Daphnia pulex: one gene and its partners. The protein of the gene in region 3 binds, or shares a complex with, the protein of the main gene of each other region. Links are inferred from orthologs where the notes say so. Each region holds a gene or a part of one and is shown on either strand. Other genes may lie near its edges. The genes, in order: RNA-binding protein spenito-like, N6-adenosine-methyltransferase non-catalytic subunit-like and protein virilizer homolog.

Region 1 (4,359 bases), on a different chromosome or scaffold from region 3:
GATAAAGACTTTATCTATGGCTGCTAGCGCTTCTTCTTTCGTGACGTCTGGACGGACGGCCATCACTGAGCCCAATGCTTTCATTTTGACGCATTCGGCGTGTTGTTTACGGATTCGGAAAGGCGAAGCGTCTCCCTGTAGATTAAAAAGCCATATAAAAGGTTGCTCAACGTTTTGATCACACACTTTTTTACCTGAAACATGGCCGACATGAAACTACAATGGGTCAGGTTAGCTGCTCTGATTTCCGTGCACGCCAAATGGTGGATATTTTTAAAATCAAGTTGGTGTCGACATGCGTCAAACATGTGAATCATTTCGTGTGTCAAAATTCCTTGAATTATTCCCTTGTTCCGAACTACATTCTGGCATACTACTATCTATAGACATAATCAAAAGATTATCATTATTAATTGAGAAAAAAGGACTATTTATTATCTGTAATATTTACTTGATTAAGTTTTGGATCATAGCCACCAGAAACCGAGACATCACAAACTTCACAGGCAATGTGTCTCCTCAAATCAATTTCACTATGTCAAAATGCGAGAAGATATTGCAGCATAAATGAAATTTAAAAAACCTTAATTTTATTTCATACCATCCAGATGATTTTAATGCACTGTACATTAACTTAACAAGAGGACCTAAATGAATCAAATGGAAGGATTAATTTACAACTGAATTTTGTAAGAAAACGTAAGTTCAGAGATGTTTACTGTTTTCAAAGCAATTGTAGACATTCCTTTCACATGTAGTTTTTTCTACATTGGTTTGACCAGCACCAAACAAAGCAATCTGCCACCATTTCGCACGTGCAGCTTCACCCCTTCTTTCGGGGTACAAGTCGTAACCCCAATTGTCTTCTTTGTCCACAGGTGCAGCTTCCGATGGTTTATCCGACATAATTATACACCTAGACTAGAAACATGCAATTAACACTGAATAACAATACATGCATCGTAGTAAAGTTTACGATGTCTTTACTTTTACAGGTACTTAATGAGGTTGTTTTGAATTTTTGCTGTTTTTAGTTGTCCGTGTTATTCAGCAGACGACAGACTGCCGGCTGAATGGCTTTACAGCATTGTGTGGAATTTGTTAAAATATTGATTGATATATTAAATTAAAAAACAAATCAAAATATTTCCCAATTAAAATAAAGAGTTTAATTGGAAATTCTCGATATTAAATTCTTAGGTATAAATTGCTAAAATGTAGCATTTTGCAATGCTGCCACGGAATGAAACCCCACCCCCAGAAGCTAAAATTGTCAAAGCCGAGTCCAAACTCAGAATAGAGCTCCGCCATTTTCTTCTACTTGTTCGGACGCGTTCTTTTTAAGCTCTGGTTCGGTGAGAAATACTCGTTGCATAACTGTTCGCAAGACCCACTTTATTGGTTAGTGTGTTTAGTTTTTCATCCATTCTCAAATATTGACGTGATTGTGAAAATGTCGTTGGTGATAATTCATCTTTGTTGCTAGGTTTACGTTGTTTAACATTGAATCGTTGATTGTTTGACAAGTCTTCAATATGAAACGCGTGTCCGACCGTGATGCATCGCCTTTCAGCAAACGCTCTCGTTCAAGCCTAGGCCATTATGATGAAAGCTCTGATGATGAGAGAGGTGGAGCTCCTCCTCCAAGACGTAGGCGTTCACCCAGCCCCAGTCACCGATCAAGATACCCTCTGCCTCCCGATCCACCAGTGATGAGGGAACGAGATGACTACCCACCACCAAGGTCTCGTCCACCACCCCCATCGACTGGTTACAAGACTCTCCTTGTCAGCTCAATCCATCCCAAAGCCAGTGACGAAGTTGTCAAAGACTCGCTCTACAGAGAGTTCAAAAAGTATGGTGAGGTTAGCATCAAGTTGGTGCACGGTGCTGAACCAGAAGACCGTTTGGCCTATGTTTCATTCAGAAACCCTGAAGATGCTCGTGAAGCCAGGCACAGCAAGCAGCGAATCATCTTGTATGACAAACCAGCTGTGCTCGAACCTGTTTACGAACCCTCTACCGCGCGAAGCACCAGGGCGCGTTCACGAAGTTATTCACCGTTGCCATACCGAGGCGAAGAAGAGCGTTACATTCGACCTCGTTCCCCAGATGATCGACACCGCATGTACGACGATCGTTACGATTATTCTCTGCGTGGATATGGTCCTCCACCTCCAACTGGCATGTACAGAGACTATCGTCCACCACCGTACGACTATCCTCCCCGTGGACCGTCATCTTACCGTGGTCACTCTTATTACGGCGCTGGAGGACATCCACCTGTCCCCCATTATGAAAGAAGTGAACGAGGTGGAGGTAGTCGAGGAGGTGGTGGTGGAGGCGGTGGAGCTGGCGGCGGCGGAGGTGGAGGTGGAGGAGGTCGCAATGAAGAAGGAGGCGGTGGAAGAGGAGATCGAAATCACGACCGCTACGAGAACAAGAAAGATCGTTTCCCAAATTATTTGCACCACATCCCGCCAGAAGAGGATCCATTGGCTACTCGGACTCTTTTCGCCGGTAACCTGGAGATCAACATAACAGAGGAAGAGCTGCGTCGCATCTTTGGCAATTACGGCATCGTCGAGGATGTTGACATCAAGAGACCGCCTCCAGGCACTGGCAACGCTTACGCCTTTGTTCGTTTCGAGAATTTGGACCAGGCCAATCGGTGTAAAGTCGAGCTTTCTGGCCAGTACATTGGCAAATTTCAAGTCAAGATCGGTTACGGTAAAGCCACGCCCACTACACGCATCTGGGTCGGAGGTTTGGGCTCGTGGACGTCGCTGGCACAATTGGAGCGTGAATTTGACCGTTTCGGCGCCATTAAGAAGATCGAATACAACAAAGGAGACACGTCGGCTTACATTTTGTACGAGACGATTGAGGCAGCTCAAGCAGCCGTTCAGGACATGCGAGGCTTTTGTCTGGGCGGCCCGGATCGGAAACTGAAAACTGACTTTGTTGACACCAATCCCCCGACAGCTCATCCGCCAACTGCCAAGACTAAAGGATCGTCTTCTTCCTACGATGCTGCCACCGCTAGAAGTGGAGCTGGCGACGATTATGCCGGCGAAACCAACTGGAACAATGGAGATGATCCCAATTATCGTGCGGGATCCGGTCGGACGGGTCGAGGAAACCGAAGTGGCTACGAGAAGAGGCCTAGCGGATATCGAGGATCAGGAGCCGATGGTGACGATTGGTCGGCAAACAGCAGCCGACGTCCTCCACCGGATGATTTTGACGCTGCCCGAGGAGGTTCCCGATCGCCGTCGAATGAAAGGCGAACCGACGACGGTGGAAGATTCACTGGATCCCGTACGCTGGCGGAAGTGGCTCGACGTTCTCCCAGCAATTGGACGGGCGCCTTGGTACTCAAGAATTCGTTTTTCCCCACGAAATTACACGCGACATCTGGCGAAGCGGCGATCGCCGATCTTTTGCTTCACGACGAGAAGAACCAGCCTCATTTGCGAATTACTCAGCGATTGAGGTTGGATCCGCCCAAACTGGAAGACGTTTCCCGTCGAGTTTCAGCTTCTGCGTCTCACGCCATCTTCCTCGGCCTGCCCGGATCGACAGGCGGAGCTTCCAGTCCCACTTCCGACGAGGCTGCAGGTGTCCAGAATCGTCCGCTTCGCAATCTCGTGACTTATCTCAAGCAGAAAGAAGCGGCTGGTGTCATCTCGCTGGCCAATAAGAATGCAGATGTGACTGGCGTCCTTTACGCCTTCCCTCCTTGCCCATTCGCTGCCGATCTACTCCGACGAGCAGCTCCGTCTCTGTCTGACGAGACTCTAAAGGATGATCACTTGGTGATAGTTGTAGTTAAAGGTATATTCAATCATTTCTAACTATCGTTTCATATTTTAATATCTTTCAATTGTATTATTTTGACAGGAGGAACTGCTTAAAACACAAATCAATCGACAACTGATTTACTACCATCTCTCAGACAAAGCCCGCGCACACCTTTAATCTTCTACCAACCGCTACCAAGATTTTTCACCAGCATACGAACGACATCTGGGTTTGGCCGTTTTGTTATCCCTACAAACAAAACCATAAAATAAAACTTTACCATTTTCTTGACCATTAGATGAGCTCTGTCAATCCTGACCTTTCTTTACTTTTTTTCTTGCTTTAACGTTTTCTTTTCAGGTTCCCGAAGCATCAGTTAAATAAGACCAATGTTTGCATCGGTGATTGTGTGTGTGTGTGAATGTGTTGTGTGTTTGTGTCGTGCTTAGGTTTTTGCCTAATACTACTAAACTAACCAGTTTGTTCATTCAGTGAGACGAGGGGAAGAAAAGGGAGCCGGGAATGGGGTTTATATCACGGTGATTTGAGGTGCGC
Region 2 (3,981 bases), on a different chromosome or scaffold from region 3:
AATTGTCGACATTTTTGTTGGTCACGTTGGATTTCAGTTTTGCATCACGGTTTGCCAAACGTCGGCAGTTTTTGTGGTCATGTTTCTGATGTTCAAAGTACCTTGCCACGGTAGTGTGGCCCTGGCGTTACTCATTACCCTCCTCCAAGGATTCATTGGAATATGCTTTGGTATACAACGAAAAAGTTGATTCTTTTAAAAAATTTAAATGATTGTATACATTTTGTCTAAATCTCAATAGGTATGTTTACCGCTGCCATCTGCGATAACACTAACGGAGCACTTTACCTGACGCAAGCCAATTTTCTCCCGATTTTACTGATGGGAGGCATTTGTTGGCCGGTAGAAGGGATGCCTCCGGCATTACAAAAGGTTGCCCGTTTCCTACCGGTCACGTATGGCATCGAGTGTTTGAGAAGTATTCTTTCCCGCGGTTGGGGAATTGAAATGCCTGATGTCTACATGGGATTTTTAGTAAGCTTTGCATGGATATTTGGATTGACGATATTGACGTTGACAGTTATTCGCTACCGCAAATTTTCGAGCTAAAACAGCCGGTCCATCTATAAGTGAATCAAATTTCCAATTCGTAAGTTATTCGTATTAACAAGTATGCCACGGTTCATTTAACCTATTCTGAATTAACAAATAGCTGTCAATTTTTTGTCTAACTCTACCAAACAATATTAATTTTGCCTGATACCAATGGCAATAAAGTTATCAAATTGTTTTGTAATTTAAACAGAATCATCTATTCGCGTCATTTCCTTAAATGCGTTACACAATTTTATCTTAACTTTCGAAGTGTTGCAAAACAGAATTGAAAACTCAAAACGTTTATTTGCAATTTAATGCCTTAGAAATTAATTAAGTAATGCTTATTTCATCTTCCCCTGCCACGCGCTGCGCCCCGAGTAAAACCTCCGCGTCCACCTCCTGCCCCTTTGCTGCCTTTGGGTGGAGGAGATTTAGGGCGAAGAGCTTCAATCCTTTCTGTGCATCCGGTAGTCGTACAGTTACTATTAAAGTAGCCAGCGTATGTTTCTGCGTTGTAGTTGCTGTTTGTTAACGCTGGACCAACCGTCAACCAACCCGGTCGAATAGTACTGTCTCGCCCGAATAAGTGGAGCCTTAAAAATTAATTATTAATTAAAATTCTAATGAAGTGACCGTAAAAATAAATTCCTAACCTCCTTTTGCCAAGACAAAAATGTTCAATGATGTTGAAAATTTCGGACGGTTTCTCCAGAGATCCATACTCGGGTTCTTCCGTAATTATCAAATCGATATCGACATTGGCATGGATGAAATCTCCGTCCGTGGAACGCCTAACTGTTCCTTTGATTCCCATCAGACAATGCTCCTACTCAAAATCAGTACATCAGTAAAAGCATTTGGTTAGACGAAATTGAAATGGTCTTACTTTGGTTCGCTGGAAAACGGCTTTCTGCTCGAGGTTTTTCGAATGACCCGGAGCGTCTGCATTGGTTTTTATCCAGCAAATGTCTTCGCATCGCCGGAATCCCCATCGGCGCAAGCACACACGCCCCAAGTCTAGTCCATCACTGGAACCACACCACAAAAATATGAAACTCCTAGGAGCAGCAACTTCACCTATGTCGAGTTCCATAATCTAAGCGGAAAAAGAACCATTAATTCACAATCATTCATTATATTGTGGTTCAATATATATTTACCTGATCCCATGACAAAAAATCGACGTTGGTCACACCCAAAGAACGCTGGTATTCTTCCAAAGGAGGTTCAATGAGGATCACGTCAAATTTACAACCAATGTCTTTGAGATTAAACGTTTTTAAATCGGATTTCAGATACATGGGAGGCGAAGCTGTCTGGGCGATTAATTCATCTTTCAACCGAATAAGTTCCTTGAGCTTGGGATATTCTTCAAACCTATAAAAATGGTTAATTTAGTAGGTAATTGCTTTAGGGAAGATTTGCCCAATCATTTACCTATCAGCCAAGCCAACATCTCTTATAAAGTTTTGGGGTCTCTGTCCAGTATCAACAAAATGTTGGCAGTAATCATTGTGAGGGTTGGAAGACTGTGTTCCTTTTAGAAAGGTTGACGAATCAGTGTAAAGCAGTTTTGTCTCTTCGTCTTGTTGACTTCCGTCGGCATTAGCATTCTTTTTTATGTATTTCTCTGAAGGTCTAAGTAATTCCATTCCTGGTTCTGCTTTGGAACTATCTGTGCCACTTCCCAATGCCTCTTTCAATTTCTCCACTGACTGCATTCCCAACTGGTTAAAAAAACGTAAGCTAAGATTGAAAATGTGAATTTTTAAACTAAAGCACAATAAATACTCACGGTCTGTACGAGACATTGTTTCCGTTTTCTGGACAATTCTCTTCTCTGTTTTAGAAGGTCCACTTTATCCATATTAAGAGAGTTTTCTTCTTCTGTGACAGTTGTCTCTGCTAAAGGGAGAAGGCAGTGATACAGATTGTATTGATTCAGCCACTTAAATTGATTTCACCTTGTACACTGGAATTATCCACATAATTTGCCATTATAGATATCAAATGCTTAAATACCGACACAGTGCTCAATGTTGACTGTGGAGTACACCTTTAACATATCAAAACATTTAAAAACCCTAACCATTCAATAGTCCGCCATTATTATTTACCTTAGTTGCCGCTTGTAAATCAATGTCTTGTTTCGATATTTGATGAAAAGGGCAAAATATACTTGCAAGCATGAAATATCAAAGCACTTAATTTGAATTCTATCGGTTAAAATAAGATTTAAAATAATATTGATTAATTAATTGAAACCGTCAGCGGCCGAATTAACCATGGCCGAACTCCGGTATTTCAAAACTCAAAAATTTAAAATTTCGAAAGTCATTTGCAAGTTGAAATATATTAAAATTTTAAAAAGTATGCAAACTGAATACATTTGAATATCTGCATGTCACAATATTACAGAAAAAGCAAGCTCCGGCAAAGATGTTTCGGCTCGTTTTCGGCACATCAGCGATCAGCGGGATTCCTCATTGTTGCTGTTTAGTATCTACCAAGGGCAAAATTTACACGCTGTGTTAAAAGTGAGCAGAGAGGTACCGTCAGTGTCTCGAATCTTTGAGAGAAACGCGCCCTTTTCACTCTAAACTGAAGCGAAACAATCAAAGACATTACATTAGAGCTCAACCAGCATGGTTTGAGAGTTTTTCTACACGGAAAAGGATCGAAAAAGCACCTTTTCGTTGTTTTAGATTCTATTTATTCACAAAGTAGTACGGCTTTCTTCACAAATTTACAAAGTTGTTAAAGCACAAGTACTCATCTGAGTCGCAGACAATCTTATTTTTTGGCTTTTTAAAGTCAACAGGAAAAGGTAAGCTTGTTTTGTGTTGTCAAGTGTTAATTTATCAATTAAATCATTGTACCAAAAAAACCAATGTAATGTAACAGTATAACAGTAAGGGGTTTCCCAACCCCTTTAGACATCTCTAACAACCAATGAGAAACAAATAAATTTTTTTGACTTGGCGGTACCGAGTGGCAACGTTGTAGTTTCACTCAACGTTTCCGTTGGTTCGAAAAAAGTCGCTTCGAAATTTCAGTTTCACTCGACGCGTCGACAGTATTTTAAACGGCGTTTTTTTATAGTGGTTGTCATAGTGTATAATTTCCTAGGCAAATAGCCATTCTGTCCCTTTTATCGAATTTTAAGCTTATACTTTCGCCAAGGATGGCTTCTGATGGGCCATTAAAGGTAGTTGTTGAATGAAACTCACATGCTTTCAAGGTTACAACATGAATGTTTTGAAAGAAATTTTGTGATCCAAAACGTGACGTCTTACTATTCTTGATGTGAAGTGTGATCTAACATATTGTTTTTTTTTTTTTTTAGTCTTTGTTTGCAAAAATGAACAAAGGTACTGTTGCATCTGAGGCTGCCACGAATGGAGATGCTGGCAAGAAGAATGGAGCCAACAAGAGACTTTCAGT
Region 3 (4,546 bases):
TGGAGAGGATCCGAACCAGCGTTAGAGATCTCGTACTGACGGTAGACGGGCAGAAAACGAAGCAGATGACCAACAGTCAACTGTGGGTTCAGATAAACTTTTCGAACTTCATTTAAACTGGAAAGTAACTGCGTGAGATGAGGCTCTAACGGATTTTCAGCAACAACATTTGGACATGTGGCATTCGGTGTAGAAAAACTGTCCTGCGAGTTCGAGTCTTGACTTTCAATGCTCATTCCTGAAGGGCGACGAATGTCTTTTCGTCTAAAGCCGTTTGGAGGTAAACGGGCCAGGATTTGTCCGATGTTATGAATCCGCTGCAGAGCTTCGTAAGTATGTATCTTTCGGATGAGTGCGGTCACTGTTACTTGAGCTCTGGAGGGTTGAGTCGCTTCTAACAACTGGACGAAATATTCATAGCCGTTTGGGTACTCCAGTACGGGATTCTTCATCCAATGTTCCATGACGTAGGGCCATGAAAGCAGAGCATCAATGCTACGCAGGCACATTAGCTTGAGCGACTGAGCCATGTGGGGGGCACCGTAAAGGCTCGCAATTTTCGTCAAGACGCCACAATCTACTGAGCGTTCTATAAGCGACTGCGAGCACTGGGCCACCGTCTGCGAGAGTTTCAGACCACATTTGATGTGACGGACCGTATGTGTAGATGGACCTGGTTGTTCGCGAGCATGATCGAAATCTAGGCCGTGAAGTAACCAGTCAACCACTTTATCTTGAATTGATTTGAGCAGATCCGGCTGTGAGTGTAAGTAAGCCAAACCATTCGGTAAGATAGAGGCCAACTGATTCATGCTATCGATCCATTTTTCTCCGCGAGATGTTAGCTCCAGCGTCATCTGGAGTCTCAAAGCAGCGTCTTCTAAGTCTTTGCAAGGTATTCGAGGTTCGGAGACATTCTTGCTTACTCGTTGTAATGTGGTGTCTGAAGGATCTGTAAAATTCTGCAGCGGTTGCAGTTCGACACCGTAAGGATTAAATGTCTTTCCGATTTCAAGAAGATCACCGAATTCATTGATATCCAAATCCGTCATGTCGGCATTATAGTCTTCAAACATAAGGTCTTCATCGCTGAGGATTTCTTCTAGTTCTTCCAATTCTTCGGGTTCGACGACGCTGTCAGGGGCTGCTTCAACTAACACTTCAGTTGAATTGACAACCTCATCTTCAACGGGTGGCTCATCTTTCCGAAGAATGGATTCCGGTTCATTAACTTCGTTTATTTCCTCTTCAACTTCATCAGCGCGAGGGGCTAAACTATCCACTTCCGGCATGTCATCGTCTGATATAGCTTCCATTTCGACACCAGGCGAGAAGCATTCTACAGGGGGTTCATCTTTTTTTATGGAAGCAGGTGGCGGCGGAGGGGGTGGTGGAGGTGGTGGAGGTGGAACTTCAACCGGTACAGGTACCGGTACAGGTAGGACAATAGCAATTTCAATTTTCTTGTCTTCTGCAGGAGTCCGAGGCCGCCTCGAGCTTTCACGTGATCCTCGTTCTTTTGCTCTCTCTTTTTCACGATGGCGATCGCGGGATCTTTCTCGCGATCGATCACGTTCACTTCCGCCACTGCTTCGTTCGCGTTCCTTAGATCGCTCTTTACGATCGCTTCTATCACCACGTCTTTCGCGATCTCGGTCGTTTCTACCTCGTTCGTCGGTTCTGGCACGTTCTGAATCGCCTTTCACTCGATCTGGATCACATTTAACTCGGTCGGAATCACTTCTGGTTCTATCAGAGTCGCTCTTTTCGGTTCGTGTCCGTTCTGATTCGATTCTGTTCCTACCGACATCACCTTTGGATCTATCCGATTCACTCTTCGTTCGTTCAGGATCACTTCTAGTTCGATCTGAATCGCTCCTTTCACTTTTAGTTCGGTCGGACTCGTTTCGTTTTCTATCCAATTCTATTCTGGCCTTTTCACGGTCGGAATCTGTTCTACTACGTTCGGATTCAACTTTAAATCTGTCGGAATCTGGGCGTATTCGATCCGAATCATTTTTGGATCGATCAACATCGTGTCGGCTTCGATGATCACTTCGATTGATACGTTCGGAATCTGCTTTGCTGGTTCGATCGGATTCCCATTCTCTTTCACGGAAGTCACTTGTGTCTCGCGTCCGTGTGAACTCATCACTGCGTCTGCTTTTCTCTCGCACCTTCTCGACTACTTTTTCTTCGACCTTCACTTTGGTTTCTTTTTCTGGTTCATCCTCGCGTTTTACTTCAGATTCAACCACTGTTGATGTCACAAAAGCATTTTCACACTTTATTAGTTCTGCTTTTTCTTCGAACGGAGGGGTGGAAGTCCGTAACTTTTCGTCTATAATTTGATTTGTAAACACTGGCGCTAATTCTGGAACCGGTGGCTGGGCTGGTTCAACTGGAACTGGGCTAGCAGGTTTGATAGGGGCTGCTGGGGGTGGTGGAGGTATACTGATTATTGGGGCTCGTGTAATAACCCCATAAACAGCTAGGGTTACAGTGGTATACCAGCCTCTCAAAACTAAGCCATCTGTTGGTACCTGTAAAATATACTTGGGGTTAAAATGGTTTGTTAATTATGCATAGTAGTCAATTTACTTTTTTATCAGAATCGTAATGAATGTTAGAATTCTGATTGTAATCTAGAACACCAAGTGTCTCAAAAGCAGATGCTCCAGGTTTGCTCAAATCATTCACAAATAGTTCAAGCTTAAACTGGGATGGATTCGTTGCTCTGAAAATACATGTTAATATGTAAACATTATCCTTATAATTTATTTTGTTCTGTCGTAACCTACCCTAAACGCACTCCTCCGGGGAAATCAGCTTGCACTTTGGCGCCTAAAGGTATGACTCGCACTTGATTTATGTACACGGGCTTGGGAAACTGTACCAAATCCAAATTCAATTCCTGCAAAATGTCGCCAAGTTTGAGTTGTAGCCAAATTGATTTATGAATAAACATTTTCTGAATTGATTCAAACCTCTGTGGGACCATGTGCGAACGTATCGAAGAAGAGCAATTCCTCATTATCAATTTTTTTATCAATTATCAATTGTTCTAACACAGACATTTTATACTAGCCGAAAAACTTTCATGAGTAAAATTTTTGAGGGATAGAAAAAAGTTTGAGGGTTCGTAAAAGGTTAATAAACAGCAACTGTCATGGTTTTCTGAAAATATAAATACGACTGCCACTAGAGGGATCCCCAACTCAGTAATCCGCTAGATGGGTCTGGGAGAAACAACCTTTAATTTATAACATTCCTTGCTTCTTGCTTACGTCAACAAGTTTGAATCACACAATTACTTCAAGGCGTCCCGTCAATTTCCAAAACAAATTCAGAAGTGTCGATAAAATGGGAGCTGATGACAAATATAGTGTCCTGCTTCCGACTTACAATGAAAAAGACAATCTACCAATTATTGTCTGGCTCTTAGTCAAAGCCTTTACTGACAGGTAAGGTTGACACTTGCTTGCAGTCATAATAAGATTACAGGTCATAACAATGCATTTTATTTGTTAGTGGATACGATTTCGAAATTATTGTAATTGATGATGGAAGTCCTGATGGGACCCTAGATGTAGCAAAGCAGCTTCAAACCATTTATGGAGATAAAAAAATTGTATGGTAGTGTTAGGCTAAGTATTTTTTTTTCTAATTAGCTATAATATTGTCATATCACAGGTCTTGAGGCCACGAGAAAAGAAACTTGGACTTGGAACTGCTTATATTCATGGAATCAAACATGCTACTGGCAATTATGTTGTGATCATGGATGCTGATCTATCTCACCATGTAATCATCTTTATAAACTTAACCTTAGGGGACATTAATTTTAAAACATTTATTTTCTTGGCAGCCTAAATTTATTCACCAATTTATTGAAAAACAAAAAGAAAAGGACTATGACTTGGTTTCTGGAACTCGTTACAGTGGAAATGGTGGAGTTTATGGATGGGACCTGAAAAGGAAAGTGATTAGCAGAGGTGCAAACTATGTTACTCAAGTGCTGTTGAGACCTGGTGCTTCTGACCTCACTGGTAGCTTCCGCTTGTACAAGAAAAAAGTATTAGAAAAACTGGTGCAATCTTGTAAATCAAAGGGGTATGTTTTTCAAATGGAAATGGTTATAAGGGCTAGACAATTGGGATTTACAATTGGTGAAGTACCAATTTCATTTGTTGATCGGGTTTACGGTGAATCAAAATTAGGTGGGAATGAAATTTACCAATTTGCCAAAGGACTTTTGTATTTGTTTGCCACTACTTAACAAAATTCTTCAAACAATAACTTAAAATACACCTTCTAAAAATTGTTATTGAAATATTTTTGTTGTTTCTTGAATGAGCCATGATATCCATGAGATAACACACAGACCATGGTTAACAAATATAACTAATTCATTAGATTCCCTCATTTATAGAAATAACTAATTATTGAAATACATTTGTAAAATTGAGAACTATCATAATTCTAAAACTACTTGAATAGTTTCAAAATATATAAACTGCTATGGTGGTTATTTCACCCAATAAGC

Evidence for each region.
Region 1: protein virilizer homolog (region 3) and RNA-binding protein spenito-like share a complex: the UniProt entries of both Drosophila melanogaster proteins name them as parts of the WMM complex. The link is inferred for Daphnia pulex from reciprocal best matches to the Drosophila melanogaster genes vir and nito.
Region 2: protein virilizer homolog (region 3) and N6-adenosine-methyltransferase non-catalytic subunit-like share a complex: the UniProt entries of both Drosophila melanogaster proteins name them as parts of the WMM complex. The link is inferred for Daphnia pulex from reciprocal best matches to the Drosophila melanogaster genes vir and Mettl14.

Annotation. Positions count from the first base shown.
Region 1 is NC_060023.1:11,551,253-11,555,611, forward strand, and holds RNA-binding protein spenito-like, read left to right. Parts: upstream 1-1,259; 5' UTR 1,260-1,401; exon of another isoform or gene 1,402-1,486; 5' UTR 1,487-1,535; coding exon 1,536-3,837; intron 3,838-3,903; coding exon 3,904-3,917; 3' UTR 3,918-4,316; downstream 4,317-4,359. Other genes in the region: mitochondrial inner membrane protease ATP23 homolog, read right to left, coding at 1-135, 195-380, 452-533, 602-647, 720-906. UniProt on the Drosophila melanogaster protein: RNA-binding protein that acts as an associated component of the WMM complex, a complex that mediates N6-methyladenosine (m6A) methylation of mRNAs. M6a modification plays a role in the efficiency of mRNA splicing and is required for sex determination.
Region 2 is NC_060026.1:13,578,453-13,582,433, forward strand, and holds N6-adenosine-methyltransferase non-catalytic subunit-like, read right to left. Parts: upstream 2,666-3,981; 5' UTR 2,536-2,665; coding exon 2,502-2,535; intron 2,443-2,501; coding exon 2,333-2,442; intron 2,265-2,332; coding exon 1,975-2,264; intron 1,915-1,974; coding exon 1,698-1,914; intron 1,638-1,697; exon of another isoform or gene 1,634-1,637; coding exon 1,424-1,633; exon of another isoform or gene 1,364-1,423; coding exon 1,191-1,363; exon of another isoform or gene 1,131-1,190; coding exon 884-1,130; 3' UTR 821-883; downstream 1-820. Other genes in the region: ABC transporter G family member 20-like, read left to right, coding at 1-170, 242-549; DNA topoisomerase 2-like, read left to right, coding at 3,722-3,745, 3,884-3,981. UniProt on the Drosophila melanogaster protein: Non-catalytic component of the WMM complex, a complex that mediates N6-methyladenosine (m6A) methylation of mRNAs, a modification that plays a role in the efficiency of mRNA splicing and is required for sex determination.
Region 3 is NC_060020.1:7,386,014-7,390,559, forward strand, and holds the start of protein virilizer homolog, read right to left. Parts: upstream 3,162-4,546; 5' UTR 3,078-3,161; coding exon 2,988-3,077; intron 2,915-2,987; coding exon 2,802-2,914; intron 2,738-2,801; coding exon 2,602-2,737; intron 2,544-2,601; coding exon 1-2,543. Other genes in the region: dolichol-phosphate mannosyltransferase subunit 1-like, read left to right, coding at 3,364-3,464, 3,532-3,631, 3,694-3,804, 3,869-4,279. UniProt on the Drosophila melanogaster protein: Associated component of the WMM complex, a complex that mediates N6-methyladenosine (m6A) methylation of mRNAs, a modification that plays a role in the efficiency of mRNA splicing and is required for sex determination.